Linked DNA regions of Lonchura striata. The protein of the gene in region 1 interacts with the protein of each later gene in a pairwise test. Links are inferred from orthologs where the notes say so. Each region holds a gene or a part of one and is shown in the gene's direction. Other genes may lie near its edges. The genes, in order: KAT5, CEP70, STX11 and GAPDH.

The links.
Region 2: the proteins of KAT5 (region 1) and CEP70 interact in binary tests that used the Homo sapiens proteins (3 or more experiments, as listed by UniProt). The link is inferred for Lonchura striata from reciprocal best matches to the Homo sapiens genes KAT5 and CEP70.
Region 3: the proteins of KAT5 (region 1) and STX11 interact in binary tests that used the Homo sapiens proteins (3 or more experiments, as listed by UniProt). The two-hybrid records come from large-scale screens. The link is inferred for Lonchura striata from reciprocal best matches to the Homo sapiens genes KAT5 and STX11.
Region 4: the proteins of KAT5 (region 1) and GAPDH interact in binary tests that used the Homo sapiens proteins (3 or more experiments, as listed by UniProt). The link is inferred for Lonchura striata from reciprocal best matches to the Homo sapiens genes KAT5 and GAPDH.

The regions. Positions count from the first base shown.
Region 1 is NC_134638.1:282,125-290,316, forward strand, and holds the start of KAT5 (histone acetyltransferase KAT5), read left to right. Parts: upstream 1-4,610; 5' UTR 4,611-4,652; coding exon 4,653-4,661; intron 4,662-4,811; coding exon 4,812-4,878; intron 4,879-5,406; coding exon 5,407-5,475; intron 5,476-5,829; coding exon 5,830-5,966; intron 5,967-7,794; coding exon 7,795-7,875; intron 7,876-8,192. UniProt on the Homo sapiens protein: Catalytic subunit of the NuA4 histone acetyltransferase complex, a multiprotein complex involved in transcriptional activation of select genes principally by acetylation of nucleosomal histones H2A and H4.
Region 2 is NC_134610.1:9,371,629-9,379,667, reverse strand, and holds the start of CEP70 (centrosomal protein of 70 kDa), read left to right. Parts: upstream 1-4,832; 5' UTR 4,833-4,910; coding exon 4,911-4,919; intron 4,920-5,352; coding exon 5,353-5,452; intron 5,453-5,605; coding exon 5,606-5,729; intron 5,730-6,047; coding exon 6,048-6,228; intron 6,229-6,544; coding exon 6,545-6,714; coding exon of another isoform or gene 6,715-6,718; exon of another isoform or gene 6,719-7,107; intron 7,108-7,809; coding exon 7,810-7,869; intron 7,870-8,039. Other genes in the region: FAIM (fas apoptotic inhibitory molecule 1), read right to left, coding at 1,249-1,477, 1,838-1,973, 2,605-2,648.
Region 3 is NC_134605.1:50,042,423-50,048,524, reverse strand, and holds STX11 (syntaxin-11), read left to right. Parts: upstream 1-4,503; coding exon 4,504-5,370; downstream 5,371-6,102. UniProt on the Homo sapiens protein: SNARE that acts to regulate protein transport between late endosomes and the trans-Golgi network.
Region 4 is NC_134604.1:29,413,227-29,421,339, forward strand, and holds the start of GAPDH (glyceraldehyde-3-phosphate dehydrogenase), read left to right. Parts: upstream 1-4,857; 5' UTR 4,858-4,947; intron 4,948-5,416; 5' UTR 5,417-5,437; coding exon 5,438-5,460; intron 5,461-6,031; coding exon 6,032-6,131; intron 6,132-6,264; coding exon 6,265-6,371; intron 6,372-6,456; coding exon 6,457-6,547; intron 6,548-6,718; coding exon 6,719-6,834; intron 6,835-6,948; coding exon 6,949-7,030; intron 7,031-7,167; coding exon 7,168-7,319; intron 7,320-7,420; coding exon 7,421-7,499; intron 7,500-7,726; coding exon 7,727-7,810; intron 7,811-7,935; coding exon 7,936-8,033; intron 8,034-8,113. Other genes in the region: C-type natriuretic peptide 2-like, read left to right, coding at 723-821, 2,191-2,463. UniProt on the Homo sapiens protein: Has both glyceraldehyde-3-phosphate dehydrogenase and nitrosylase activities, thereby playing a role in glycolysis and nuclear functions, respectively.

The DNA.
Region 1 (8,192 bases):
GCATGGACATGGGGACAGAGACACGGGGACGCTGCAGGGACAGGGACACGGGGACAGGGATGGGGACATGGACACAGGAACATGGGCATGGACATGGACATGGGGATGGGGACATGCTGGGGACACCCCGGGGACACCACAGGGACACGGGGACACGGACATGGGGACAGGGACATGGGGGCAGAGACACAGGGATGGGGACAGGGACACGGACACGGGGACAGGGACAGGGACACGGGGACAGGGACAGGTGACAGCGACAGGAACAAAGCCGGGGGACACAGACACCGATATCGCCCTGTTTGGGACATCCCAGCTTTGGGGTGTCCCAGGTTTTGGGGTGTCCCAGGTTTTGGGGTGTCCGAGGTTTGGGGTGTCCCAGCTTTGGGGTGTCCCGGGTTTGGGGTGTCCCGTTTTTCGGCTGTCCCATTTTTGGGGTGCCCCATTTTTGGGGTGCCCCGTTTCGGGCTGTCCCCGTTTTCAGGGTGCCCCGTTTTCAGGGTGCCCCGTTTTTGGGGTGCCCCGTTTCGGGCTGTCCCCATCCCGGGGTGCCCCCTGACCTTTCTGGACCTTGTCACACAGCAGGAAGATCTCGTCCCCGCCCCGGCAGCTCCCGGAGTTGCGGTTCACGCGGCAGATCCGGAGCTCGGCCGTGCTGGGGGCACCTGGGGACAGCGCGGGGCCGCCGTGGGTCCCGGGCCACCCTCGGGTGTCCCCAGGTGTCCCTTGGGTGTCCCAGGGACGTCCCAGGGATGTCCCACATGGGTCTCAGGGATGTCCCCCAGGTGTCCCCAGTGTCCCCAGCTGTCCCCTGGTGTCCCTCAGCTGTCCCCAATGTCCCCCAGGTGTCCCCAATGTCCCCCCGGTGTCCCAGGTGTCACTCAGGTGTCCCCAGGTGTCCCAGGTGTCCCCAGCTGTCCCCGTGTCCCCGTGTCCCACTCACGGTTGTCGTAGATGGGCTGGGACAGGACGGGGGGGAGGGGCTGCAGCCCCCCCGGGCCCCTCACCCACACCTGGAAGCAGAGCCGGACCGCGGCCAGGTCGTACTCGCCCCCGCGCTGCTCCGCCGGCACTGCCCGGTGCAGACCAGTGAGAACCGGTATAAACCAGTACAGACCAGTATAAACCAGTACAGACCAGTACAGACCAGTGTAAACCAGTATAGACCAGTATATACCAGTACAAACCACTAACATACCCAGGTACCCCCAGTGACACCCCCAGGTCATACTCGCCCCTGCGCTGCTCCCCTGGCACTGCCCAGTACAGACCAGTACAGACCAGTGACGCCCCCAGCACTGTCCTCAGTGACCTCCCAGTAATACCCAATCACTCCCAGTTCCCTCCCAGTAACTCCCAGTCCCTCCCAGTTCCCTCCCAGTCCCTCCCAGTTCCCTCCCAGTTGCTCCCAGTTCCCTCCCAGTCCCTCCCAGTCACTCCCAGTTCCCTCCCAATCGCTCCCAGTTCCCTCCCAGTCCTTCCCAGTTCCCCCCCAGTTCCCTCCCAGTCCCTCCCAGTCCCTCCCAGTCACTCCCAGTTCCCTCCCAATCGCTCCCAGTTCCCTCCCAGTCCTTCCCAGTTCCCTCCCAGTTCCCCCCAGTTCCCTCCCAGTCCCTCCCAGTCCCTCCCAGTTCCCTCCCAGTTCCCCCCAGTTCCCTCCCAGTCCCTCCCAGTTCCCCCCCAGTTCCCTCCCAGTCCCTCCCAGTCCCTCCCAGTTCCCCCCCAGTTCCCTCCCAGTTCCCTCCCAGTTCCCCCCAGTTCCCTCCCAGTCCCTCCCAGTCTCTCCCAGTGCTCCCAGTACCGTTGAAGGGGTTGTTGTTGGTGCGGATCCGCTCGGCCACGGCCGCCTCCAGCTCCCGCTTCTTCACGCACTGGATCCCCAAATTCTGGAAACTGCCCCCAAAACTGGGCTGGCTCAGGGCTCCACCTGGATTTTGGGATCCCCCCGAACATTCCGGGGCAGGGATCCCGAATTTTGGGGGTTCCCAGGACTCTTGGCAGGGTCCCGTATTTTGGGCGTCGCCCCCCGTTTTTGGGTGGTCCCACCCGCCCCGGAGGGAGATCCCCAGTATTTTGGGAGATACCACCTGCTCTTCTGGGGGGGTTCCCAAATCTTGGGTGCTCCCACCGCCCCATGGGGGTGTCTCCCGGTTTTGGGGGTGTCCCTGATTTTGGGGGACATCCCAGTTTTGGGGTGTGCCCCCAGCCTGAGGGATGTCCACAGTTTTTGGGGGATGTCCCCGGTTTTTGGGGGGCTGACCCGGGTTTTGGGGCTGTCCCAGTTTTTGGGGGGGGGGATATCCCGTTTTTTTGGGGGATATCCCAGTTTTTGGGGGATGTCCTGGATTTTGGAGCTGTCCCCGGATTTTGGGGTTCTCCCCGGTTTTTGGGGATGTCCCAGTTTTTGGGGGAGGATATCCCGGATTTCAGAATTGTGCCGGATTTTGGGGTTGTCCCAGATTTCGGGGCTGTCCCAAATTTCAGGGTTGTCCCTGGTTTTAGGGATATCCCAGTTTTTGGCGGGGGATGTCCCAGTTTTTGGGTGATATCCCGATTTCGGGGTCCCGTCCTGGTCTGGGTTCCTGTCCCGGATTTCGGGGCTGTCCCGATTTTGGGGTCCCATCCCGATTTCGGGGCTGTCCCGGTTTTTGGGGGGGACATCCGGGTTGGGGTCCCACCTGTGCACGCTGCGCTCGGGGCTCAGCTCGGCCTCGTAGAAGCCGTCCCGGCAGTCCTTGCCCACCAGCTCGTGGGGGTGCGGGCGGTGCGGGGGGTCCTTGGTCACCAGCGACACCCGCACGCGCCCCGGGCCCCGGTAGTTGTTCACCTGCGGGACCGGTTTGGACTGGTCAGCACTGGTTTGGACTGGTCAGCACTGGTCTGAGCTGGGGGGCTCACGGGGATGCTGCAGTGGGGCTGGGGGAGAGGGTGCTGAGCCCCCCCGGCCAGGGATGGGAGAGCCGGGGAGATCAGGGGGGGTCCCAGGCTGTTACTGGTCCATATTGGGATGTACTGGGACACTCACGCGGATGGTGGGGCGCACTGGGGGGGCTCAGGGGGGCACTGGGTGGTTACTGGTCATTACTGGTTTGTACTGGGACACTCACACGGATGGTGGGGTGCCTCCGGGTGCTCTCGCTGCTGTGCTCCCTGGGGCTGGGGGCACTGGGGGGGCTCTGGGGGGCTCTGGGGGGGCACTGAGGGGTCCCAGGCTGTTACTGGTCCATACTGGTTTGTACTGGGACACTCACGCGGATGGTGGGGTGCGTCCGGGTGCTCTCGCTGCTGTGCTCCCCGGGGCTGGGGGCACTGGGGGGGCTCTGGGGGGCTCTGGGGGGGCACTGAGGGGTCCCAGGCTGTTACTGGTCCATACTGGTTTGTACTGGGACACTCACGCGGATGGTGGGGTGCGTCCGGGTGCTCTCGCTGCTGTGCTCCCTGGGGCTGGGGGCACTGGGGGGGCACTGGGGGGGCACTGAGGGGTCCCAGGCTGTTACTGGTCCATACTGGTTTGTACTGGGACACTCACGCGGATGGTGGGGTGCGTCCGGGTGCTCTCGCTGCTGTGCTCCCCGGGGATGCTCCCGGCCGAGCGCCCCTCGCACTTGTAGCGGAACCTCATCCCGCGCTGCCGCGGCTGCTCCAGGATCTCCACGAACGGCGCCGCCCCCCCCGCCTCTGGGGGGGCACGGGGGTCCCGGGGGGTCCCGTCAGCCCCTCCGCACCCCCCCCCCACCCCCGGGACCCCCGGGGGACCCCCCCCCGCCCACCCGGCCCCACTCACCTGGAGCGCCCCAGTCCTGCAGCAGGAAGGGCAGGAGGTCTGGGGGGGTCACTGGGGGGCAAAGGGGAGGGGGTCGATTTAATGGGGGGGGTCGCATTAATGGGGGGGGTCGCATTAATGGGGGGGTCACATTAATGGGGGGATTCACATTAATGGGGGGTCGCATTAATGGGGGGGTCGCATTAGTGGGGGGGTCGCATTAATGGGGGGGTCACATTAATGGGGGGTCACATTAATGAAGGGGGTCGCATTAATGGGGGGGTGGCATTAATGGGGGGGTCGCATTAATGGGGGGGTCGCATTAATGGGGGGGGTCGCATTAATGGGGGGGTGGCATTAATGGGGGGGTGGCATTAATGGGGGGGGTCGCATTAATGGGGGGGTCACCTAAAGGAGGGGTCACATAAGGGGGTGTCACATTAAGGGGGGTTCGCATTAACGGGAGGGGTCACTTTAACGGGGGCGGGGGTCTTCCCCCAAAACCCCCTCCCCCTTTAAACCCGCCCCCCCCCCCTTAAAGGGCCCGCACCCTCCGCTCACCCCGCGACGTCACTCGGGGCGGAACGGTCCCAAAACCGCCGCGGGGGGGGTCAGCACTCACCGTCCTCCATGGCGGGGGTCGGGGGGTCCCGGGGGTCCCGGGGGGGTCCCGGGGGGGTCCCGGGGGCAGCGGGAAGGGCGGGGGGGGGGCCCCGCTCGCGCCGCCGCTGGCGGAAGCGCCGCGCCCCACGTGACGCGGCTGCCGGGAAAGCCCCGCCCCCTCCCGCGAGCGCTCCCGCCAACCGGGGGGCGGGGCGCAGGCGCGGAGGGGGCGGGGCCGCGTCCCGGAAGCGCGTCGGGCCGGCCGGAAGCGAAGGCCGGGAGGAGAATGGCGGAGGTGGGGAGCGGGCGGGGGGGGGCAGCGCGGAGGGGGCTCGGGGAGCCGCCCGAGGGGCTCCGGGAGCCTCCGGACGGGTTCGGGGACCCCCCGAACCCCCCGCGGGGGTTTTGGGGCCCCGCCGGCCCTGACGAGGCCCCGCCCCCGCAGGGGGAGGTGTCCGAGGGCTGCCGCCTGCCCGTGCTGCGCCGGAACCAGGACAACGAGGATGAGTGGCGTGAGCGGGGCGGGGCTCAGCGCGGGGGCAGCCAATCAGGGCGCGGGGGCGGGGCTAAGGGAAAGGGCGGGAAGCGGCGGGGGCGGGGCCTCCTGAGGGGGCGGGGCCTGGCCCGGGGGGGTCGGGGGTCCTGGGGGGTTTGGGGTTCATGAGGGGGTCCTGGGGGGTTTGGGGTTCATGAGGGGGTCCCGGGGGAATTTGGGATCCCTGAGGGGGTCACTGGGTGGGTTGGGGTCCCTGAGGGGATCCCTGGGTGGGTTTGGGGGTCCCTGGGTGGGTTTGGGGGTCCCTGGGTGGGTTTAGGGTCCCTGAGGGGGTCCCTGGGGGGTTTGGGGGTCCCAGGAGGGTTTGGCAGTCCTAAGTGGGTTTGGGGGTCCCTGGGTGGGTCTGGGGGTCCCTGAAGGGATCCCTGGGTGGGTTTGGAGTGCCTGGGTGGATGTTGGGGGTCCCAGGGGGGTTTGGGGGTCCCAGGGGGGTTTGGGGGTCCCAGGAGGGGCTGTGTGGTGACCCCCACCCCCCCGGTTTCAGCGCTGGCCGAGATCCTGAGCGTGAAGGACATCAGCGGCAGGAAACTCTTCTACGTGCACTACATCGACTGTGAGCGCGACACGGACACGGGACACGGGGACAGGGACACGGGGGGACACGGGGACGGGGACACAGACACGGGACAGGGACACAGACACGGGGACACGGGGGGACACGGGGACAGGGACACAGGGACATGGGGGACACTGGGATGGACACTGGGGTGGCACTGGGATGGACACTGGGATGGGCACTGGGGTGGTCACTGGGGTGGCATTGGGGTGGACACTGGGATGGACACTGGGGTGGCATTCTGGTGGACACTGGGGTGGCATTGGGGTGGACGCTGGGCTGGCAATGGGCTGGCACTGGCCTGGCACTGCCACCCCCCGTGCCAGCCCGCCATGTCCCCGCTGTCCCCAGTTAACAAGCGCCTGGACGAGTGGGTGACCCACGACCGGCTGGACCTCAAGAGGGTCCAGGTGCCCCGCAAGGAGGCCAAGACGCCCACCAAGAACGGCCTGCCCGGCTCCCGGCCCGGCTCCCCCGACAGGGACCCGGTGAGCCCCGGGACACGGGGACACGGGGGGACCTGGGGGGACACCTGGAGGGGACACAGAGACCTGGTGATGGATACGGGGACATGGGGGGACACTGGGGACACTTGGTGACACGGGGAGGGGATGGGGGGAAACGGGGGATGAGGAACAGCGGGAGGTCGGGTGACATTGAGGGGACACCGGACGGACAGAGGGGTCTGGGGACAGGGGACACGGAAGGGACAGGGCTGAGGAGGGGGTGGGACAGGGACAGAGTTTGGGGACACGGGCGAGGGACACCAAGGGACAGGGCAAGGACAGGGGCCAGCCTCGGGGACCGAGCACTGAGGGGACACACGGGGGGGACACGGGACAGGGGACACGTGGAGCCGCTGGGGACAGACCTGGAGTCCCCAAACCCCCTGGTGACGGGGACACTCGCCCCCCACAGCAGGGACGTCCCCTGGGGGGTGGTGACATCCCCAGGACACACCCAGGGGCCACCCCGGACCCTTGGGGACATCCCCAGCCCCTTTAGGGGACCCTGGGGACATTTCTGACCCCTTTAAGGGACCTTGGGGACACCCTCGACCCCTTGGGGACACCTGCAGCTCCTGTAGGGGACCTTGGGGACATCCCCAGGCACTCTCTGGGGACCTTGGGGACATCTCTGACCCCTTGGGGCCACCCCTGACCCCTCTAAGGGGACCCTGGGGCCACCCCTGACCCCTTGGGGACACCCCTGACCCCTTGGGGACACCCTTGACCCCTCTAAGGGGACCCTGGGGACACCCCTGACCCCTTGGGGACACCCCTGACCCCTTGGGGACACCCTTGACCCCTCTAAGGGGACCCTGGGGACACCCCTGACCCCTTGGGGACACCCCTGACCCCTCTAAGGGGACCTTGGGGCCACCCCCGACCCCTGGATGCCACCCTGTCCCCCTTCAGGAGCCCTTGGGGCCACCAAGGGCCGTCCCCGGGAGGGGTCCCGGGGTGGCGGGAGGGTCCCCGAGCCGCGGTGGCTCCGTCCCCTGCGCGTGCCCCTAAACCCTCCTCTTCCTCCCGGCGCAGAGGAAGAGCCTGGAGCTGGCGCTGCCGGTGGCCCCCGCCAGCGGGAAGAGTTTGCCGGGGCCACCGGGGCCAGCGGCGGGGCCACCGGGGCCAGCGGGGCCAGCGGGGCCAGCGGGGCCAGCGGGGCCGGGGCCCATCACGCTCCGCTTGCACCTGCCCAAGGAGAGCGAGGCCGAGCCCCCCCAGCGCCCCACGGTAACCCCCGATGGCCCCGGCGGCCCCAGGGTCCCCAAATGTCCCCAAACGGCCCCAGGGTCCCCAAATGTCACCAGGGTCACCAAATGTCACCAGGGTCACCAAATGTCACCAGGGTCCCCAAATGTCCCCAAACGGCCCCAGGGTCCCCAAATGTCACCAGGGTCCCCAAATGTCACCCAGGTCCCCGAACGTCCCCAGGATCCCCAATGGCCCCAAATTTCACCAAATGTCCTCAATGGCCCCAAATGTCCCCAAATATCCCAAATGTCCCCAAATGTCCCCAGGGTCCCCAGCTGGCACCAAAAGTGGCCCCGGAGGTGGTCCCTGGCAGGTCCCGGTTTTGTCACCCTGTCCCTGTCCCCGGGGTGTCCCCTGAGCCTCCCCTTCCTCGGGCCTACTGGGATGGACTGGGGGGGACTGGGATGGACTGGGATGTTCTGGGGGGGGACTGGGATGAACTGGGGGGGACTGGGATGGACTGGGGGGGACAGGGATGAACTGGGAGGGACTGGGATGGACTGGGGGGGTCTGGGGGGACTGGGAGGGTCCGGTTTGAACTGGTTTGAACTGGTCCCAGAAGCGCAAGGTCGAGGTGGTGTCACCGGCCACGCCCGTCCCCGCCCCCACCGAGACCTCGCAGGCGTCCGTGTTCCCCCAGGTGAGCCCAGCAACACCAGTATGGACCAGTATGGCCCAGTATAGACCAGTAACACCAGTATGGACCAGTATGGACCAGTAACACCAGTATGGACTAGTATGGCCCAGTATCAACACCAGTATGGCCCAGTATATGACACCAGTGTGGGCCAGTAACACCAGTATGGGCCAGTAACAATACCAGTAACACCAGTCTGGGTGGGTTTGGGGTGTCTGCGTTGGTTTTGGGGGAGATTTTGGGGGGCTTTGGGCTGATTTTTGGGGTTTTGAGGTGGTTTCGGGCAGTTCTGGGGTGGATTTGGGGATTTTGGGTGAATT
Region 2 (8,039 bases), on another chromosome or scaffold:
GGAGGCTCTGTCATCAACTTTTGCTTTGAAGATAGACTTTTACCCCTCCCTAACCCTGGCTATTAACACTGTGTTGTTCTGAATAGTGCCAGAGATACTGACAGTCTTAAACTGAAAAAATTAAGACAGAAAAGTGAAGTAATTTCTGCTAATTCTTTGAGTGCTGGTTATTCAATAAAGCTCTCTTTTTTTCCAGGTCAAATTAATTAAAAAGCAGAATTATTTGATTCATCAAACTGCTTGTATTCTTAATATTTCAAAAGCACAACTTTAAATATCAATCTTAAGAGTTGTTTTTGGACTTGAAACAGAATATTCTTTTTCTTCTCCCAGCACATCCTCCTTAAAATACTTTGCTATAGAATTCCCTTTACTGACACTGTCTTTGACACAACATCAGCAGAGAGCTGAACCCTGCTTGCCTTTCCAGTAAGCATAGGGATATTAAAATTCTGTGAAGACTTATCTGTTTCTGGCACTAAAACTGTCTTTCTTCATTGCTTCCCTTCATCTTAGGGCAGTTCATTCTGTCCTGAGGTTTAAGAAGAAATCATAGTCTGAGATCTCTTGTCTCCAGCTCTAACCATACAGCAATACCCAAGTGGAAGTTTTCCCACTAGATGCCACAGAAAAATTCCTCAAGGGATCATCCCTTCCTCCCACCTGCTTGTAATGTAACTGGGAGAGAGGGGGCAGAAGAGAAACAATGTATTGGTAGTTGTAATTTACCATTAAGAAAGTGAAAGAACATCACTGGAGGGTTTTAGTTTAATTTTGTACATAAGAAGTGATACAGAAAAAAGGCTGTTCATCAATCTATCCACATGTCAAAAATGTGAAATAACATTGTTGCACTTCAGATGAAGACTTCTTGACCATGGCTGATGATTTTTGGAAGGAAAACCTGGTTACCTGCTGAACAAACTTAGACCCACATGAGGTTTGATCACAATGAAGGTAAAATTTTAACAGTCTTCACCTGAAGAACTGCCTTGCTAGGGCAGCTCTATGGATGCAGCAGCAGTAACGTCTCCCAAATCTAGACCACACTGCTGTAGACTCACACATGTATAACAAGTCATTACTTGTCAGACTATCTTTGGCATCTCATTCCAAATTTCCACATCCCCCAGGATTTTATACCGCATCAGAGCTACCCACTCAACTGTGCTTTCTTAATTACCAGTTTTTAAATGCACAGAAGTTTATTCACAGGCAGCAACATGTAGTCACTCAATGTTTACTTACCTAGAACAATTCTATAGTCTGTACCTCCCAAGTTCAATATCCAAGTATTGGTTGTTTTTAACCTGTTCTCTATATACTGCTTGAGACTCTTTCCATTGATCTCCAAAGTGTATTCATATGCAAAGCCACTGACTGCATCAATGTTAATAGCAGCTTTAGTTTTAGTAGCTCCAACAGTGAATGTTTCTTTACCCACTAATTTAAACATCCATTCTCTTCTTATTTCTTCCTGTAGAAAAAAAAGACAGTGGATATTAATTGAAAAAACTGAGTGCATGTTTTAATATTAAAAAATTGAACTGGAACTCGGGAGACAGCTCAGTACTGAACTACTGTTGGGGAATGAAAGCATACATGGTGCTTTGTATGCATAGAGTGCCCCTGTCCAAGGACAGCAAAGCACTTCATGAATACTCACACCTTAATTGGAACTGAAAAAAAAAGAATGATGCATGTTATTAAATTAGGTAATTAACTGAATGAACCTCACTCGCATTTATTAGTCTTTTGTTTGTTGTGATGTGTGTTGCATGGAAGTGTACTTATATAATCTGTATCACAGTGAATTTTGAGCACATAGCAATTTCACCTTTCCATCAACATAGACAACACGCTTTCCTGAAGTGGTCCCATGTTCAAATTCAATCTTATGAACACCATCACTTAAAGCTACTTCCCAAACAGCCACCAAATCTGTCATCTTCTCTAAGTGGCTGTACCGAGACCTAAGGAGAAACCAACAAAGTAAATTAATTGTTGTTGGAAGTCCTGATGTCTGCAGTTCAAAGCTTTACTGCTTCTTCTGCTTTTGTATTTGCATTTTTTGAAATACAAAATGACAACTGAAAGAATACACTTAGAGAACAGCTTATATTTTAATGTTTTTCAGACATTCAAATATGACAAAACATCACAAAATACAAACAGTTAAGCAGACTCATTCTGACAAACAGTACAAAGACACAGTTACCCATCTAACCTCTAAAACTCCCATTTCAGCTGACAATAGGTAACAAAATTACATTTAGTTTTAAGATACTCCTGGATAGTTCTGTTATTTCTTGGTAGGCATTAAAACATATTATTTGATTTGTGTCAAAGAAAGTGTTTCAGCTTTTTAGACTTGAAAAAATAGTCTAAAAACGATTTCCTGTGTTAACAGATTTGACTCTAATCTCATAAACACTACCTACATCATTCAGATATTCAACGCTTCACAGACAGACACAGGGGAAGGGATCTGGCAAGATATCCTTTTATTCAAGTGATTTTTAAAGTTTAGATACAGTCATAAGTGACCACTGGAACTGTGGATATCTTTCAAAATCTGCTCATATCACAGTTCTGATTCTTTACCTTACTTCATCGTCACAGACAGTAATCTCCTCACCGGATGCCATAGAAGCCAAAAGAGCTTTTAATCCAATTAGCAGCAAGAAAAAATAGAAAAGCAGAATAGTAGGAGAGAAGTGCTGAAGTCTAAAGTTTCACCATTTTCTCCAGCTAAGATAAAGGACAATTTTTAAAAGCATCATTAACTAGCGTGCAGTGCTGTCATAAATATGATAAAATAAAAACACTTAAAATACAACCATCTTTCTCTAAGACAGAAAGGCAAGTGTATTTAAAAAAATATTATATTTTACAAAACCAAGTAAGTGCTAGTAGAGTGTCCTACCTTCACTAGCTGCTCATAACTTTGTCAGTTACCGGACAGAAAAATGGGCTGCCTGATTTGTGAGACAAAGCTTAGAAATTAACAACTTGACCAAAGCAGGAACCTAATCCAGAGCTGCGCATCTCAGTCCCAGACCGTAATGAAACTGGGATTAGAAATAGCACAGGCAGTAATTCCACCTCCTCCCTTTTCTAAACAACTGTAGCAGCTTTCAACAAGCACATTACTAAATTTGACCTGGCAAATCAGTCACAAAATCTATGTGAGCCACAAAGAACTAATTTCTTACACGATGGTGTTTTATAACCACCGGTTTATAATGTATTTTTTTCACTCATTAATTTCATTATTATCTTGTCTGTACCTATCAACAAACAAACAGTGCTAACAAATGCCGAGGGGGTGTTTTTGGCCACTCCTGAAATTTCTGGTTCCTGCGAAGGCAGCATCACCGGGCACACGGTGGGAATCAGGCAGGGAATATTTCCCTCCTGTGCTCCAAGGAGAGGCAGGCAACATTTCCCTCCTGTGCTGCAAGGAGAGGCAGGCAATATTTCCCTCCTGTGCTGCAAGGAGCAGGCAGGGAATATTTCCTTCCTCTGTTCAAGGAACAGGCAGGCAACATTTCCCTCCTGTGCTGCAAGGAGCAGGCAGGGAATATTTCCCTCCCCTGCTGCAAGGAGCAGGCAGGGAATATTTCCCTCCTGTGCTGCAAGGAGCAGGCAGGGAATATTTCCCTCCTCTGTTCAAGGAGCAGGCAGGCAACATTTCCCTCCTGTGCTGCAAGGAGCAGGCAGGGAATATTTCCCTCCTGTGCTCCAAGGAGAGGCAGGCAATATTTCCCTCCTGTGCTGCAAGGAGCAGGCAGGGAATATTTCCTTCCTCTGTTCAAGGAGCAGGCAGGGAACATTTCCCTCCTCTGTTCAAGGAGCAGGCAGGGAACATTTCCCTCCTGTGCTGCAAGGAGCAGGCAGGGAATATTTCCTTCCTCTGTTCAAGGAGCAGGCAGGGAACATTTCCCTCCTGTGCTGCAAGGAGCAGGCAGGGAATATTTCCCTCCTCTGTTCAAGGAGCAGGCAGGGAACATTTCCCTCCTCTGTTCAAGGAGCAGGCAGGGAACATTTCCCTCCTGTGCTGCAAGGAGCAGGCAGGGAATATTTCCCTCCCCTGCTGCAAGGAGCAGGCAGGGAATATTTCCCTCCTCTGTTCAAGGAGCAGGCAGGGACTGTTCCCCGGCAGGGATCAGCACAAGGGGCGGCCCGGGGCTCGCAGGAGATGCCCGGAGAGTCTCACACACCAGAGCCTCCATCGCCCCGGGCAGGCCCCGGCGCTGCGGCGTGGATTGTAGGATCAATGCTGAAAGGGTTGGGAAGCATCCCAGAACACACTTTTTTTTTTCCCTGAAATCATGGTAATGAAGCAATACACATTTATTTCACACCGAGCCCGAAGGCTGACCCCAGGCCAGGGGTGGTTGCTGGAGGCGATCCCACCGCGTCCCAAGGGAAAGCCGTGCGCTGCTCCAGGAGGGACACACAGCAGCTGCACCCACCGCCTCCATTCCCTGACCAGCTCAGCAGCCCAAGGCAGTGCTTCCTCCTTTACACGGTTCTGAAAACGAGCCTGGGATTACAGCTCCCAGCCCATCCACCTAATCCCGGCAGCGCTCATCGCCGTACCGGGAAGCGCAAACCGGACGCCAGACGTGCTCCCAGCCATTACCGCCAGCAACAAGTTTTTCCCATTTTTCCCCAGTCTTTATTTTTTGCTCTCCTTAGCCCCACGCCCGGCCGCCGCGCTCCTACCTCCGCCCGCTCTCCTCCCCTCGCCTCCCGCGCCGCAAAATGGCGGCGGCCGCGCGGCGCCGCCCCCGCGCGCCGCTGCCGCCGCTCCGCTCCCGCCCGAGCGGCGCCGCGGCCTGAGCAGCGCCCCGCTCTGCCCCGCTCTGCCCCGCGGCCCCGCGGCCCAGCTCTGCCCCGCGGCCATGGCCGAGGTACCCCGCTGGCCCCGGGCGTCGCTGCTGGGGGGTTGGAGCGGGACAGGACGCGACGGAGCGGTCCGCGAGCCCCCGGAGCCGCCGCCGCCTCCCTGAGGGCTCCGCGCGCGGCGGGGCCGCTGCGCCCCGGGTGCGGTGGAGGGAGCCGCGGGTGGTGGTTCGCGTTTCCTAAAGAGGCGGATTTAACTCATTGCGCCGTGTTCTGCTTTCAAGTAGGGGTCAGGAAAACGGGTTATACTGTGTGGTGTTAAGTACGCGTTTCCCCAGTGTGCTTTGCAGATCGTAGTGGAGTTTCTCACAAACCCTCCTGTAGCGGCCCCCTGGGGGTTTGGGGTTGTTTGCTTTAATTTGTGGGCATTTGGTACCTTGTGCTGCACGGCCGATGCAAAGAACTCAGGTATCTGCCTTTTTTCCCTTTCTCCCAATGCAGCAGGAGAAAACAGAGTGGGAAAACTTAAACAGGGTATTAATGCGTCATGGGTTGAAACCTGTGAGCCTTGCTGCCCCCCAAAGCTGCAGAGGTACATCAGGTAAGGAAATGTAATTTTTTTATTTGGAAATAGTAACCCTAAGTTGATAAGGCATCTTCAAAGCTGTCACTTCCTAGTGGCTGCAATCAGGCAAATCCTCTTTGGCTGTTCAAACCCTTTCATGGTGACTTTGCTTATGTTCTCTGTCTCCAGATATGATTGTCCTAGACCATCAGTCTTCTCAAGAAATAAGACTTGCGTTACAAACGCTGGTGGAAGACACTGAGCGACAGCAAAAGGTGATGCAGGGACTTATGGAAGCAAATCGATGTCTTAGGTAAGACAGTGGAAGGAATTTACCTGCAGAGTAAAAGTATTATCAGTGTGCAACTCCAGCCTGGTGGAGATCTTATCTCACCAGAGGCCTAAGACCTTTTTCCTGAGGTTATTGTTCAATATGCAGCAATATTGTCCCAGTTCCTTTCAAGCTCTCCCCTTGTTTCATCTGCTGCTTCTTCTCATATCAGTGTATTTCCCACACCTGCTGCCACAGGATGTTATCAGAGGTCATCACATAATGTCAGGTGTGTGCTTTATGCACTGTCTATAGTGAAATGAGTTTAATTTAAAAGCAAGGATTCATTTCTTTTTTCAGAGATGTGGTACGACTGGAACAAGGTCGGGCATCTCGGCAAGAGCAACGGGCTAATGATTTGGAAAATGTGGTGAAAAACATTAAGGCCAAAATTTGTCAGCTGGAAGATGAAACAATAGCTAAGGCATGCCAGCAACAGAACCAAGTCAAGGAACTTCAAAAAGAACAACAGGCTTCACGGGTAATTCAGATAGTGCTGCCTGAGGATTCAAACTTTTGACTTACAGAAGATCTCAGAATACTTACATTGATCTAAATAAACATGACTCTTGGGTCATAGGGTTAGTACGCTGTTGATAGCTAAGTATTCTCAAACTATGCAGAATTTTCTAGAAATAATTTTGAAAAGTATCTGTATCTCTCTTAGACTGTCTCTTCAGCATGGCTAAAACCCAAATGCTCACGTTCCTTGGTTCCAGGTGTGTACCTGGGCTTGTATGGTATAGTCAGTGTGTGGGTCATTACAATTCAGTAACACTCCTGTTGCCTGTTCACAGGTAAAATACCAACAGCAGCAGGAAAAGCTGCAAGAACAGGAAGAGATTATTGCCCGCTTGCAGAAGGAGCTGAGGAGAGTTGGGAGGGAGGAGCAGCAGCGAGTTGACATTCAAAACAAAATGTTTTGTCAGTTTTGCAGAAGAGCTCCCAAGTCTCTCCTGGATCAGCGGTAAGTGATTCTCTTCTACTGCTGAATCTCTGCAACAGTAAATGAAGAAACAGATTTTAATGTAATGCTTCTCAATATTTATATGGCAAAAAGAAGTAATCTGGAGACTTTAGGAGTACAAGATGAAATATATAGTCTTGCGAAGGTACCTCAGTGCAGTGATATTTTTCTTTTGTGAAACTGTAAGCCAGATAAATCCATGGCAGAAATTTAACAATTGCCACCCACTGCCCACACTAGATGTCAGCAAAGGGAAGGGAATGATTCACTCTGCTCTGTAGCTGCAGTGGCTGGCAGCTAGGATGATCTCATCCTGGGATGCTGACATTTAAGTAAGTAAATTAAGGAAGTTAAAAATGAACAAACCCCCTCAACAAACAGCATCCTTAGCCCCGCCCCCCCCCCAAAAAAAGAGCCTTTCCAGTTTTGGGAAGTGATTGCAACTGCTGACTGGAGGCTTCCTGTGAGCTTCCAAGTACTTTTGGGTGAGTTCCCAAAGTGTCACAAGGCTTCGTCTCTTGCTAGTAGGATTTCCATAGCTCTGCTACAGTCAGACATTGGCCAATTCCTAAACCTAGCCATTGCTTTATTGTGCTGATATCACCTGGCTTTCTAGGCCTGGCCAACAATGTTTATCTGGGAAACTTTTAAGAGGGATTGTATGTGCTCAGCTTTTTCCTTGAGCTCTCACTGTATCAGAGGAAGGATCCCTAGATTTGGTTCCCTGTCGTCTCTCATGTGTCTCTCCAAACCAGACAATCTCTGAGTGCTCAAAACACTTTATTTTGACTGTGCCTCTCTGTTAATCTTGCTGGGTAACCACAGGCATAAGATGAGGACACTGGTGGGCAGATTTAACTTTTTTCTCCTCTTGAATATTTTGCTGCTTCTGAACTAGTACAGATTCAATGTGTCTACTTTTCCATTTTGGCAAAGTGTGACCGTGTTTTTCTGGTATGAGAGAAACTGCACTGTTTGGAGCAGCCACTTTCAAAGTGCAGTGCATTGTATAAGCTGAGCTGTTCATCTGGGTTGGTCACTATGAGTTTTGTGAGAATATCTGAAATTCAAAATTAACATTTTTCCTTTCTTCAGGTACCTATGTCTAATTGATTATTATGAATCTCAAATTAGTCAGATTAAAAAGAAGCTGAGGTAGGTCTCATTAAATGCCTTGTGGTTCTACTGTTCAAAAATTTTTTAGCCCTTACTGTTCTTAAATGTTATAGTGGTAAATACTCTGTGCTCCAAGTATCACTAGCATGTATGAAACAACAAAGGGTTATGATGGTCATGGAAATTTAGATTTTTCCAGAGAATAACTG
Region 3 (6,102 bases), on another chromosome or scaffold:
AGTTGTTAATTTTGGAGGTGGTACACATACATGATCTTAGCACACCTTGATAAGGCAAACTGTCCTAATTAGATTTTTATTTTTTGTTTTGTTTCTGGCTCTTACAGAGGAGAAGAGAAGAAAAAAAAACAGATGAGTAATTAGAAAAATTCAAACCTGCTGTGCCACCTTTAGTGCTCATGGTTGGCAAGACAGGGAATTTGGACTGAAAAGATGACTAGTACTCTGCTATATGCCAATTACTCTCCTGGAAAGCTGAAAACCTATTGTTAAAAAAAACAAGTCTTTTCCCCAAGTTAATTAATATTATCAAATCCATTATTAGGCAACAGATACCAAACAAAAATATTAATTCTGGTCTAAGATGATTGTTTACAAAACAGATAGTTACTAAAACATTATTAAATCTGAGACTCCAACTCTTAAACAAAAGGCTTCAGCTAAATTTAACACTTTTTTTACCTATGTATGACTTGTATTTTAGTGCTAGCACTCTATTTGCCTTGGAATGCAGTGTGTTCAATTCAGCAAGTCCATCTGAGTAGATTTCCATCAATACTACATCCTCTACAAGCCGTATGGGAAGTCACTGAAATGTGCTGACACACACTTAGCTATGAAGTAATTTTGTCTAAGAGCAGGTTATTTCCTAATTGTTCTCCACTTGTTTTTTGGGTCATGTCTATTGTGTGTCATGTGGTAAAAATCACATTCCATTCAGAGCTAGGATGAGCCACGTGGCTTCCTTTTACCTTCCAAGGGCAAGAAGAACTACTGACAGAAGTTATTTTTAACTGACTTGTTTTGAAATATCTGTTGTTCCTCAAACAATTGAAGTAAAAACTTCATCTTGTAAAGCTCTACTCAAGGCTGAAAAGATTACTGACTAGACTCTTGGTGAGCCACAAGATGTTATTAAGTAACAGCTGCCATTTACGAATGCTGCAAGAAGAAAAAACATACACTGCCTTCCTTCCCAGCAGCTGGCCATGAAATATGGATGCTGTGCTGAGACTGCTTCATCATTTCACCCTTTGTTCCCAGACTCTGATCACAGAATATCCTGAGCTGGAAGGAACACACAAGGATCACTGAGCCCAAATCTAAGTGAATGGCCCATATGGGGATAGAGTGTGGATGTACAAATGTTAAAGCTGAGATAAAAGTTATAGAAATGACTTTTTATCCTTAGGTTATTTCTACATAGTTAACAGGCTTCAGAACATTTGCACAGCAATGTTAGGCAATGTTTGTAGGACTCCCTTTTTTATGTATATGGGGCTAACAGAAAGGGGATGTATGCACATGCATATATTTTGATTTTTAGATGGATTTTCTTTCTTGTCTGAAATCCCATATTATACACAGTTGTCTGGGGAGGCAGTCTTATTGCAACAGGACAATTTGCATATTTCTTATGCATCATGGGAAAGCTTGTCACTGTGGTGATTAATACCAGTAAGTAGTGCAGTAACATGAAAAGATGAGCACTGAACATGCCCTTAGCTGACTGTACTTGCTGGATATCTGCGTTCAAAGTTGTAACCTCTGCAGTCATCACCTGGCCTGTATTTCCTGTGTGTGCGTTTGGGTGTGCACATCATGATGGACTGCAGAAGGAACTTCACATTTACAAGGACATATTTAGCTAGCCCAGAAATACAAATGTTTAAGTACGTGTTCTTGTTTGGATATATGTAGCATTTTAAAATAAGACTGACAACTAATCTATTAAGGTAGTTATACACTTGTGGTTGTTACTCCAGAATAGTTGCTGTTTTGATATTTTAGTGTGTTAGATGTCTCTTACTTGTGCAAGTAGTTGAATATATTTAATGTTCGTAGTCAGCTTAGCAAACTTTTTATTTAAGGCTGATTACCAGAACAATTTAGATGGGACCTTTGGACATTGTCTAATCCAGGCCTGCTCAAAATGCACACAGTTAGGTTTCTGAGGGCCATGTCAAGTAGAGTTTTAAATATCTTCAAGGATGCTGATTCCAAAACTTTTCTGGACACCTTTTTCATTGTTTCTAATTGTTTGGGGTTTTCTTCTTTTTTTCCTTTCCCCCCATCTTGTATCTGGCTGACTTTCTCTTGTTTCCACTTAGGTCTGTTGCATGCTGTGCTATTGCTGTACATTTCCATGGAGGGAAAATGCCTTGCATTAAGCAGTTAGTGATGGCAACAAGATCTCCCTTAAGCTTCCTGTTTCTCAGGCTGAACATTCCCAACTCTCTCAGCTTCTCTTCATATGTCAGGTGCTCCAGCACCTCTGACCACCTCTGTGGCCTCCCTGTGGCTCATCCCAGTGTGTCTGTGTGGAGTGACACTCCAGATGGCATCTCTCAAGTGTCAGACAGGAGGGATTGGGGGATTGGGTTCCTTTCCTTCCTCACTTTTGCTGCTCCAGCCTGGACACATGGCTCATGTTTCCCTACCAGCACACCGAGGTCCTGCAGAGCTGCTTTCCCATCAGAGAACCCAACTTTTACTGCTGCACCAGACACTGTATGAAGGGAGAGACTGATGCTCACTTTACAGACTGAGGTCTGAGGCTATCCCTAACAACCAGACATGTATCATGTGTTAATATACTGCTGTTCAAATTACAAGCAATACAATCAACGTTTGTGTAGATGCAAACTTTGCTGAGTAACAACAGCATCTGACAGGGGAGACCAACTTTTCTAAACCATGATTTGTTAAGTTGAAATGTTTCAAATTGCTTTTCCCCCTTGCACTCCCTGCTTATTTATTTCAGCTCTTTAGTGTCAGTTCTGTCCCTGACACCATCCAGGGAAAGCTTGAAAGTTATTGTCCTCTCTTGGGAAGATCTGGTTCCCATTTGTTTGAAATGAGAATTTGAAATAGGAAAAGACCTCTGTTAAAAGTTATTCACATCCTGTCCTTCCTAGATAAAGAAGAGCATGTTGAAAATGTGAAGATGAAGTAGGAAGCTGGCTAGGTGATGCACTTTGGAAACAAAAAGACAGGACTTGGGGAGAATTAAAGAAAGTGCCAAAAAGTGCCTGATCTTGCAGGACTCTGAAGTCAGGCTTAAATAGGTGGCATCCATTTGTTAGGACAAAAGTGTGAACACTTTAGCTGTGGAGACATATCCCAGACAGAGCTAAAAGATGCTAATGTTGACCACCTTAAACATAAGTTTTGGTACATAGATACAAATAATGTAGAACTAAGTACTGGGGAGCAGGGAAAATCCAGGGCGAAGACTGTAAGTGCAACTGCAACTTGATCCCTCTGTTCCACTTATAACTAGATCTACTGGATCTGCTGGATCACAGAGATTGTGTGTGATGCTGTCCATGTCACTGGAGAGGAGCTCTTCACAAGTGGCCTTGATCCATGGGTTCATTCCCTGATGTCCAGCTTGTTCCTTCGCGATCTTACTCAGCAAAGTGCTCGGGGCTTGCAGCAGTGACTGCAGTCAGAAGGGGCTGACTTCTGAAGATTCCAGGTACAAAGAATTGGGCTTGAAGTGTCTAAAGTGGGCATCATAAATTATCAAGAGTCTGACACTATTGTCCTTAGTGACTCTGGGCTGAAACCTAACTGTGGGGCTGTTAGATCTGCCTTTCCCCAAACAACTGGTGGGAATTTATGGGTATTTTTCTTTGTCCTGTTGCTGGGTACCACTGAAAAGATTCTGGCACCATCCTCCTGGGATCTGCCTTTGACATATTTATGTGTGCTCAGATCCTCTCTGTCTTCTCTGCTCTAGACTAAATAGGCTCATTTCCCACAGTTTATCCTTGTAAGAGAGATGTTCCACACACATAATTGTTGATGCCTGGTACTCTATGGTCAATGATAGCATCTGGAGACACTAAAGTTGCTTTTTCCCCCTTTTATCTATTATTTTTTTCCCCTATCATGATACTTTCCACATCATTTTTTTGAAACTTTTCTTTCCCAACTGTATTGGTAAATGCCATTTCTGTTTCTGAGAGGCTTCTTAGTATTCTTCCAGGAAAAGCAATCTTAGAATAAGGGAAGCCCTGTGACATTTTGGGTAGTCGATGTAATGAGGGATCAGGATCTAGAGGAGATTTCTCTAGTGAGCAGTAGTGGAAGGTGTTCAGTTATTAACATGTCTACAGATGGTGATAGCTGAAGATTTACTATCAGGAGTATAGTTTTCCCATCCAAGTAAAAGACTGGCATTCTGTGGGGAGTTTGGCACTGTCCTACTATTCTTTTTGACTTCAGCATTTGTAGTCTTTTTTCCTTCAGTTTTGTTTCTAAACTTGTATTTTCTAGAACATTGTTCTAGGAGAGTTTTGGATGTGATATCCATCACTATATAAAATACTGTGAACAAATTTAAAATCTGGTATTTTGGGTTACCTTTGATAACTGTTTGTTATCTGTGATTTAGTTATCACTATGATGTAGCTATTAGTTACAGATTTTCAACTCTTTTAACCAATATTTTAGTTACTTCAAACTCATTCCTCCTGTTCCTGTTTTACAGGCAGGATGAAAGATCGTTTGAGTGAGCTGCGTGAATTTGCCAGGTTGCATAACCAACAGTTTTCTGATAGTGATGATGATGAAAATTCACCCCAGGATATTCTCCTTTATGAGACGGACTATGCCTTGGAAATCCTTCATAAGGACATACAGACCATCCGGACAGAAAATGACCACCTAAAAGCGGATGTCAACCGTCTCAGAAAGCAAAACACCCGCTTCCTTACCTCCATGCGCCGTCTTAGTAGCATCAAACGAGATACTAATTGTATTGCCAGAGACATTAAGAGCCGTGGAGAAAGCATTCACAGGAAACTGCAGATAATGAGAGATTTCTGTGAAGATGCAATAACAAAATACGGAGCTATGTCTGTCATTGCTAGGGTGGCAAAGAACCACTACGTTGACCTCATGCACACATTTCAGGACGCTATGTTTGATTACAATGCAACAGAGATGAACCAGCGGGAGAACTGCAAGATTCGAATTCAGCGGCAGCTGGAGATCATGGGCAAAGATGTTTCTGGCCACCAGATTGAGGAGATGATTGAGCAAGGCAAATGGGATGTCTTCTCCGAGAATCTCTTGTCAGATGTTAAGGGAGCTCGCGCAGCCTTGAATGAGATAGAGACGCGGCACAAGGAGCTGGTGAAGTTAGAAGGTCGCATTAAAGAAGTTCATGAGCTCTTTCTGCAGGTGGCCCTCCTAGTGGAGGAACAGGCAGACACCTTTGATGTTATTGAGATAAATATGCAAAATGTTGAGGACTATGTAGGAGATGCTAAAGACCAAGTGAAAAGAGCTTTGGAATACAGGAGAAAACATCCCCTCAGAACAATACTCTGCTGCTGCATATCATGTTGCAGAAGGTGATGGTCCTACTGGAGCTATCACAGACTGACTCGAATGTCTTCAAAATCAGGTGTTCTTTCCAGAGACTGTTCTGTAATGACAAGCCCTAGAAATAGGGGCGATATTTTGCAGTTGGTTTTGTTCATTGTCTTTTTACTAAATGTGCTGAAGGCTGTTTCTATTTATGAACTTCTAGAAATGTTGATAAAACTATTTTTAATCTAATTTTAATTGAAAGGTTCTTTTACTGTAACTAGAGGTGCAATATCTTTACAATGATATTCATTTCATATAGGCAAGAAAGAAGAATGAATAACTTATCGTAGAGAAGATGAATACTTTCAAAAAGTAACTTTATTCCTATTTGTCGAAGTGAGGCTGCAGGTGCTGAAGCCTTGTTGCCTGGGGCAACACAGCACACCAAAAAAACAGTAGGTTTTAGTTTGGAGGCTGCTTGATACAAATTTGACAAAATACTGAGCAGGAGCAGGAACTTGATTTTCAGCTGTCAGTAATCTTAACAGAAGCAACAGCACCTGAAATGGATAATATGCACATTTTGCTCTATTTGTGTGCAAATGACTGCTTTTTTTTTCCATTTTGAGTACCCAACTCTCTCAAGGTGGCTAAAAGCACTGCAACACTGAGGCATCTCACTCACTTTTAACTTGAGCCACTCTCTGGACTCCCAGTTTCAAACCTGCTATGCTTTCATGTTCTGATGCATTTTTATGCCAATAAACACTTCAGCCA
Region 4 (8,113 bases), on another chromosome or scaffold:
CGGTTCCTCTGGAAACTCAGCCCAGTCCTCCAGATGGTGACTTGGGACAGACAGCCCGCAAATTATATGCTAATAGTACTAGACCCACGCTCCTGTCACTGCTACAAATTCTGTATAGTACTGAAATTTCACCCACCTTCTGCAGCAGGAGCTCTTCATTCCCAGTCCAACTGTCTCACTAAATTATAAATATTAAAAACAAGCCTGTGTTGTCATAGACCTGAATTTTTTTGTCCATTCTGTGCAGCCAGCAGTGTGCCTACCTCTAACTTAGCTGCAGTTCATACTCACACTGATCAGAGAAATAGCATTAACAGCACGCTACCTATGAGGAGTATGTTCAATACTCGTACACAATGCAGCCTTCAATATCCTCCTTTTGGGATGCATTTCAGTGTGTCACCCCATCCCTGACCCTGATAGACACCTCCAGGTCCTGGCCAGCAGCAGCTCAACTCACATTTGTCTTCCCAGACACTCAGTAAACACCTTTGTGTCCTTTTTCTTTAGAGGAAGGGGTCTTGCTGAGCTCACCCTGAAATATATCACCCTGGACAAAAGGGCTGAAAGGTTAAGGAGCTCCAGGGGGTGGTTCAGCAGGGAGCTGGGGCCAGTCCCTGCCAGAATCAAAGCTATAAAGGCAGAGAGGGGCTAGGAACCACATCCTACATGGATGCTGCGAGTCCTGCCTTGCCTCCCACCAGCCCTGGGCTAAGAAGAAGATGCTGGGGCTTCAGTCATGGCCTTGCTCATTTTTCCTCTTCTTGGTTCTGCTCTCTGCCAGCGTTCAGACTGTGTCCTTACCAGGACAGAGGCTACAGGTAGGAGGGAGTAGGACAGAGCTGAGGTTAATTTCAGGAGGGGAGGAGGAAGGAGGGAGGTTATGTTTGAACCTCAAATGAGAAGTGGTCCCAAATTCCAAATACAAGACAGCTGCTGTCTATTCTTGTTGCACTCTCCCCTTCAGCAGCCTCAGCTCTAGGGTGACTTTATAATCCAGTCCCTAAGGAGCACCAGCATTTCGAGACAGGAAACAGACAAAAGCTTTTTAGTGCTCTGTAAAAGCTTTTAACAGCGAAGGGCCTGGCCCTTTCTAAGCCCAATCTGTGTCAGCAGCCATCAGATATTACAGTCCTGCTTTTCATCATGGTTCTGGTTCTGATATTTCAGAGGGAAGATGCATCCTGTTAGGCCAGGAGTTTTGCTCCTAAGCTCAGTATTATCCCCCTTAAAGACCCTCTTTAAGGCCAAGAGCCCTGTCAGGATGCCAACTAAGGAGTTCTTAGCTTGAGTAAATCTTTATCCTTTGCAATTCCAGCAATAATATTTTTGACTTTCCATTCTAGCCAGCTCCCTCTTACCCAAACCCTAACCTGAGCCCCACCACCTTGCCTTTACATCACCCTGGGAAAGCCACAGGGAAATAGTCAGGACATGAACTAAAATCACAAGACTGATCCTGCTATGACTCACCACTTTCACTCCTTGCTGAGGATGCCTGTGTCCGCTTCAGTTAACTCGCTACCACAAAGAGCTGCACAAAGGCATCCTCAGCCTTAGCTCAGCATCCATGTGAGAGACAGATGTAGAACGGCTCCTGCAGGCTGCTTCTGTGGGCAGCAATGCCGTGCCTCCACTGCACCCAACATACCCCCCACGACTTGTCTCCCAGCAGTGCAGAGGATTTACAGTCAGCACAGCTAACACAGAGGATTTCCAGCAGATGGGGAGTACCTCTTCCTCACACCTGCTCTGTTCCTGACTCTCCCTCATCTTTATCAGGTGTTAGGTGTTTATCAGGAGTCAGGACCATGTTGTACACAGCAGCCTGAGCACACAGAGATGCTCAGCATCCACAAAAGGAGCAAGGACTGAAGAGTTACCTTCCAAATCTGGGGCAGGGCAGGATGTGTGTACGGTTTTACAAGAGCAGGGCAATCTGCCCACAGGCAGAGCTCACAGCAGATGTCTGCCTGCTGTTTTGGATGACAGTCATTTCAGACAGTGGGAGCTGCTGGTCAAACCCTTCCCTGTGTCTGGATGCAATGTCACAGGCACAGTGCTGTAAACAGGCATCACTTCAATGTCCTGCCTGAGTCCTCAGGAGGGTATGGGCAGTGGGGTACCAGGGGGAACAAGGCTTATCACCAGAAGCACAGGCATCACCCCACTCTCCTCCATTTATCCCAGATGCTCCTTTCACGATTGCTACCCCTGGAGCCCAAGTCCACGCTGACCGAAGAGGACACGAAAGAGGGATCCAGCTTTGGTCCTCAGCTGCTCTCCTCCACTCTCCCCTTCCTCCCATCTGGGGCTAGAGCTGCCCGTCCATCCCTCTGGCGCAAGAACCTCTCCAGTCGCAAGTGGGGACTGCCCGGAGATTGGGCCTGGAAGGCCATGCCCAGGGGTTGCTTTGGGCTGAAACTGGACCGAATCGGGACCTTCAGTGGTTTGGGGTGTTAGCTTTGGAGGGCCTCCAAGGTGAGTGGGATAAGAACGTGGGCTCGAGGGAGCGGTAAGGAAGGAACTTGAGGGCAGAGCTGTCAGCGAGGGGATGGGTAGCGGGGCAGGCTGCCGGGCAAGGCGGGGCCCGGGGACGCCCGTGCTGCCGGCGCGGTGCCGGGGCCCGGCCGGGGCGAGCGCAGGCGGGCGGGACGCCGCTGGGCGGCTCACCAGGCCCGCTTCTCCGCAGCCGGAGGGCACCCAGCCTCGGGAACCTGCACGGTCGGCAACCAGCACGGCGCAGCGCTGCGCGAAGCCCTGAAGCTCCCGCCCCGAACATGGGAGGCTGCGGCAGCGAGGGAGCGGCGCGGCGGTACGAGCAGGAGCCGCCCGGCTCCGCGGCTGCCCCCCCGGCCGCTGAACCCCCGCTCGGCCGGCAGCCCCCTCCTTGCTCCCCGTGCCCGAGGACTCGCTCATTAAACACGCTGTACTAATTTGCCGCGTCCGCGGTGGCTGCCCCGGCCGGGAGGCGGTGCAGAGCCCGCCCGGCGCCCCCGGCCCCACGCGCGGGGCCGAGCCGGGCCCGGCCGGCGCCGCCGCCATTCCGCGTGGGGCGTGCGGCACGCGCGGCTGCGGCGCGGTGCGGCCGGGGGGGCGGGCACGGGTGAGGTATCGACCGGGCACGGGGCACAAGGGCCGCGCTGCTCACCCCGGCCGCACTCTGCCCCCGCCAGAACAAACACCGGGGCCTCCTGTTTGCGCCGAAGCTTCCCCCGACAGCCTGCCTCGGTGGGCTGCGGCCGGGGCGCCACCGACCCCGCACGAGCTCGTAGCCCTGCTGCTGTGCCCCGCGAGCCATCACCATGTCCTGGCCTTTAAGAAAAGGTTGTAACCTCAGCTGGGTCTAAACTTAGCCACCAGCCCCTCAGCAGCACCGGGAATAGCAGTGGTTTAAGGAGAGTAGGGTTACGTTTGAGCTGCATGACCCCTCTCTTGTCCCCCACCCCAGTACCTGCGTGGTTCCCCCAGCCTGCCCACCCCCTCCCTTATCCTCAAAGCCCGGCTCACCAGAGTAGCCAGAGGGACACACTAGCTCCCGCCACCCCCACCTGCTCTGATAGCCCAGATTTGCATCCCCACTGTTCCCACACCTTCCTCCGGGATGGGAGATTTGGGATTTGTGCGTGCTCTGGGCGTTGTACCTCAGGCGGGGTTGTCCCGCAGCACCTGCCCCGCGCGCAGCCGGGGGATGGAGGCGGCGGGGCGCGGTGAGGGAGCCCAGCCTGGGGGGCGGGGAACCGGGCAGCGGCCATGCCAGGAGCGCTTCCTCCTCGCAGGCAGGCAGGGAAGGCGGGCCGAGGCGGCAGACGAGCAGGATTTCCGCCGTCACGTCCCGCGGGCAGCGGCAGAGTGCCGCAGTGCCTCATTAAGATGGTGCTCACGCTGCCGCCCGTGGCCTGCTGGGGCAGCGCCCGGCCAGGGGCCCCGTCCAGAGCGCGCCTGGATAAGCCCACCCGGGGAAGGTCGCAGCCTGGAGGCGGGAGAACTCCCAGACTGTACCTCCCGTGCCGGGGGGAGTGGGGGACAGCCTGGAGATCCGCCGCTCCCTCGGGATGACCCGAGCATCCCTGCAGTCCCTTTACCCGTGCAGCCATAGAATCATGGAGTGTTAAGGGGTTGGAAGGGACCTTAAAGATTATCCAGTTCCAACCCCCGTGCCACGTGCACGGACGCCTCCCACTAGAGCAGGTTGCTGAAGGCCTTACCCAGCCTGGCTTGGAACAGTGCCATGGTTGGGGCATCTACAGCCTCCCTGGGCAACGTGTTACAGTACCTCATCACACTCACAGTAAAGAACTTCTTCGTAATATCCATCCTAAATTTCATCCCTTTCAATTTGTACCCATTACTCCTTTTCCCAACACTAAAGCTGCTGACGAAGAGTCCCTCTCCGGCTTCCCTGTAGGTCCCTTCGGATACTGGATACTACTCCATCCAATTGGGCACAGGCTGCAGCCGGGGCGGGTGGCTACCTGCCCTTTGTTACCAGGTGAAAGCAGCGCACACCATCCTGCGGAGCAGCAGCGGGCCCGGCGGGAGCAGCCCCTGACCGGCTATCGCCCTCTCTGCCTCCTCGGGCAGGGGTGCAGCCACCCATCCCCGCTCTGGGGACACCTCCGACCAAGGACCGGTGCATCTTTCACCACCGCCACCTGCACCACCAACCCCCTTGGGGTGGCCCGACGGGAGGGTGATCGCTACGGACCCTACATTCCCAGAGCGGGGCCTTTGTTAACGGGGGGCGGCGGGGCGGGGGAAACAGGGGGAGTCTTCGGCAGCCGCACCCGCGGCACGGGCGCACGTAGCCCAGTCCGGCCCCCGCGCTGCCATTCGACGGCGTCGCGGCGGGGCGGGCCCTCGCCCTACCCTCACGCGGCTATAAAGGGCGGCGGAGAGGCGCTGCGCCACCTCCTCACTGCGCGCCGGGCGGCTCGGAGGCAGCAGGTAACGGGCGGGGCGGCGGAGATGCGCGGGGGGAGAGAGCGGTGGCGGCGGGCGTGTGGGAGCCCCCTCCCCACACGGGCGCCCCGCCCGCCGGCGGGGGGTGCGGCAGCCCCCGGGCGGAGCGGGGCCGCGTGGCGGCGGGGCCCAGGGCACAAAGGCGGCGCGGCGCAAAATGGCGGGGGCGGCGTGAAGGGGGGCGGTGAGGCGAGGAGGGATAGGGGTGTGAGGGGGAGATGGTCGCCGCAGGAGGAGGAGGGGGCGGGTAGTTGTCGCGGGGGGGGCAGGTGGGTTAGTCGCCCGCGGCGGGGGGTGGGGCTAGCTCGGCGCGCGAGCCCCCGCTCGCCTCGCGGCCCCCGATGCCCGCTCGCCCCTCAGCGAGGGCGAGGCGTTAACGGCACCGGCTGAGGGCGCGACTCCGAGGGCGGCTGGTGCCGGCTCTTACGCCCCCGCTGCTGGTTTCTGCCCACAGGAACATCCCGAAGCGGTAAAGATGGTGAAAGTCGGAGTCAATGGGTAAGTGCTGCGGCCGACAGGACCAGCGGGGATTTCGAGGGGGGTTGTGGTGGAGCGGCAAGGTCGCCTCAAGGGCGCGGGGGGAAGATTCGGGGAGAGGCTGGATCCCGCCGGCCCCGCTCGGCCGGCGCCCCCCGGGGCAGCGAGCGGTGCTGCTGACTCATTTCTCCTCGGGTTCGGGGTGACTCACTCCGGAACGGGCTGCCGTTGCTCGGCTGCCCCAGTTTCCCTCCCCGTTCCCGGGGATCCCTGCAGCCCCCCACCGAAAGGTTTCTCAGTGGATCGTGTGTCGATGGCGGCCCCGGGGATGTGACCTTCTCGTGCCGGGCCGAGGAGTAACCGGATCCCCGGGGCTCTCTGTAAATTTAGCGATTGACCTTTCTGGGGCGGGGGTCGTTCTTAATCTTTAACCGGGGTGCCTTGGCCTTTGGACGAGCTGCAGGGCTCCCTCCCGCCCTGCCGGGCAGGGAGCAGCTGATGATCCCAAGGGAAGGCTGCCAAGGACTGCCTCCCATGCCCAGCTGGGCTGGTTCTCTGTTGCACCTCCTCACCCGTGTCTTTCTCTCTCCAGATTTGGCCGCATCGGCCGCCTGGTCACCCGGGCTGCCGTCCTCTCTGGCAAAGTCCAGGTGGTGGCCATCAACGATCCCTTCATTGATCTGAACTACATGGTGAGTTGCTTTGCAGTGCCCCCTCTGGGCCTTTCTGAGTAGGGCTCCTGTGGATCTGTTCTCGTAGCTTCCCCGGGTGTTAGAAGATGATGGCAGCCTGGGTGCCTGACCTTCTGCTCCTCCTATTTATTAGGTTTACATGTTCAAGTATGATTCTACTCATGGCCACTTCCGGGGCACTGTCAAGGCTGAGAATGGGAAACTTGTCATCAATGGGAATGCTATCACCATCTTCCAGGAGTAAGTATCTCTTTCTTGATTGCTCCTCTGGAGATTGAAAGCAACTGTGTCATGGAACAGCTTGTAAAATTTTGTCCCTCCTTAGGCGTGACCCCAGCAACATCAAGTGGGCAGATGCTGGTGCTGAATATGTTGTGGAGTCTACTGGTGTCTTCACCACCATGGAGAAGGCCGGGGTGAGTATGCCACAGAGGTGTAGGAGAGAAGGGAATAGTGCTGCTTTCTGCCTGTCGGGCACACCACCATTTACAGAGCTGCTCAAGATAGGGCTGTGAAGGAGAAGAGATCTGAAGAAGCAAGCTTGGAAGGATCCTGAGTTATGTAATCTCTTATCTTTCTCTCTCCAGGCTCACCTGAAGGGTGGTGCCAAGCGTGTGATCATCTCTGCCCCCTCTGCTGATGCTCCCATGTTCGTGATGGGTGTCAACCATGAGAAGTATGACAAATCTCTGAAAATTGTCAGGTAAGGAGAGTAGCATGCTTCCTGGCCTGGAGCTCTCGCCAGCTGCCAGGGGTCTCACTTCACCTCCGTAGGAGTGTTGCCTCTGGCTGACGTGCCTTTATCTCTCTATCCCAGCAATGCTTCCTGCACTACTAACTGTCTGGCGCCCTTGGCCAAGGTCATCCATGACAACTTCGGCATTGTGGAGGGTCTCATGGTAGGTCTGCAGCTTGGTGCTGAAGAGGGTGACCTACCACAGATCCCCTCACGTGAGAGGGAAAAGCGTCTGTGTCACCTGGGATGCTCTTTCTGGAGAGTATTGGCTGTGTTCTTAATCCTATGCTCTTTCCTCAGACCACTGTCCATGCCATCACAGCCACACAGAAGACAGTGGATGGGCCCTCTGGGAAACTCTGGAGGGATGGCAGAGGTGCTGCTCAGAACATTATCCCAGCATCTACTGGAGCTGCTAAGGCTGTGGGAAAAGTCATTCCTGAGCTCAATGGGTGAGTGTTGTCCCTTCTCAGGTGTCAGGAGGAGGCAGAACATTCCTAGACTGGCAGAGGAGTGCCAGATGCTGTTCCTTAGTGACTTGTGTCTCTCACAGGAAACTTACTGGAATGGCTTTCCGTGTGCCAACCCCTAACGTCTCTGTTGTGGACCTGACCTGCCGTCTGGAAAAACCAGTAAGTGTTGTGGACGGGGTCCTAACAGCTTGCAGATGTGCCCCTCTTCCTCTAAGCTCTGCATTGCACCTGGAATTGCCCTCTCTGCATCCATCTTGTCCTGAAGATAATCTTTGTGAAAAGAGCACCTGCTGGGGTGTTCCCATGTGTGTCTTCTCCCTTCCCTGTCCCCAATGGACATTTTGTGTGAGTTGGAATCTGATCATCTTGGATCTGTGTCTCCTCAGGCCAAGTACGATGACATCAAGAGGGTAGTGAAGGCTGCTGCTGATGGGCCCCTGAAGGGCATCCTGGCATACACAGAGGACCAGGTGAGGAATGCCTACTCTCAGCCTGCAGTTACAGGCTCTTGGCCTCACTTTTGTAAAAGGCAGCTTTGGGCACTTGGAGTAGAGACTGTGGGCAACCATATGCATTACAATTTCTCGTGTTTCAGGTCGTCTCCTGTGACTTCAATGGTGATAGCCATTCCTCCACCTTTGATGCGGGTGCTGGCATTGCACTGAACGACCATTTTGTCAAGCTGGTTTCCTGGTAGGTGCAGCCCTGGGCGTGAGGGGGTTGGCACAGACAGGTTGCAGACTTGGGTGTCCTGTTGGTTACCACTGGTGATC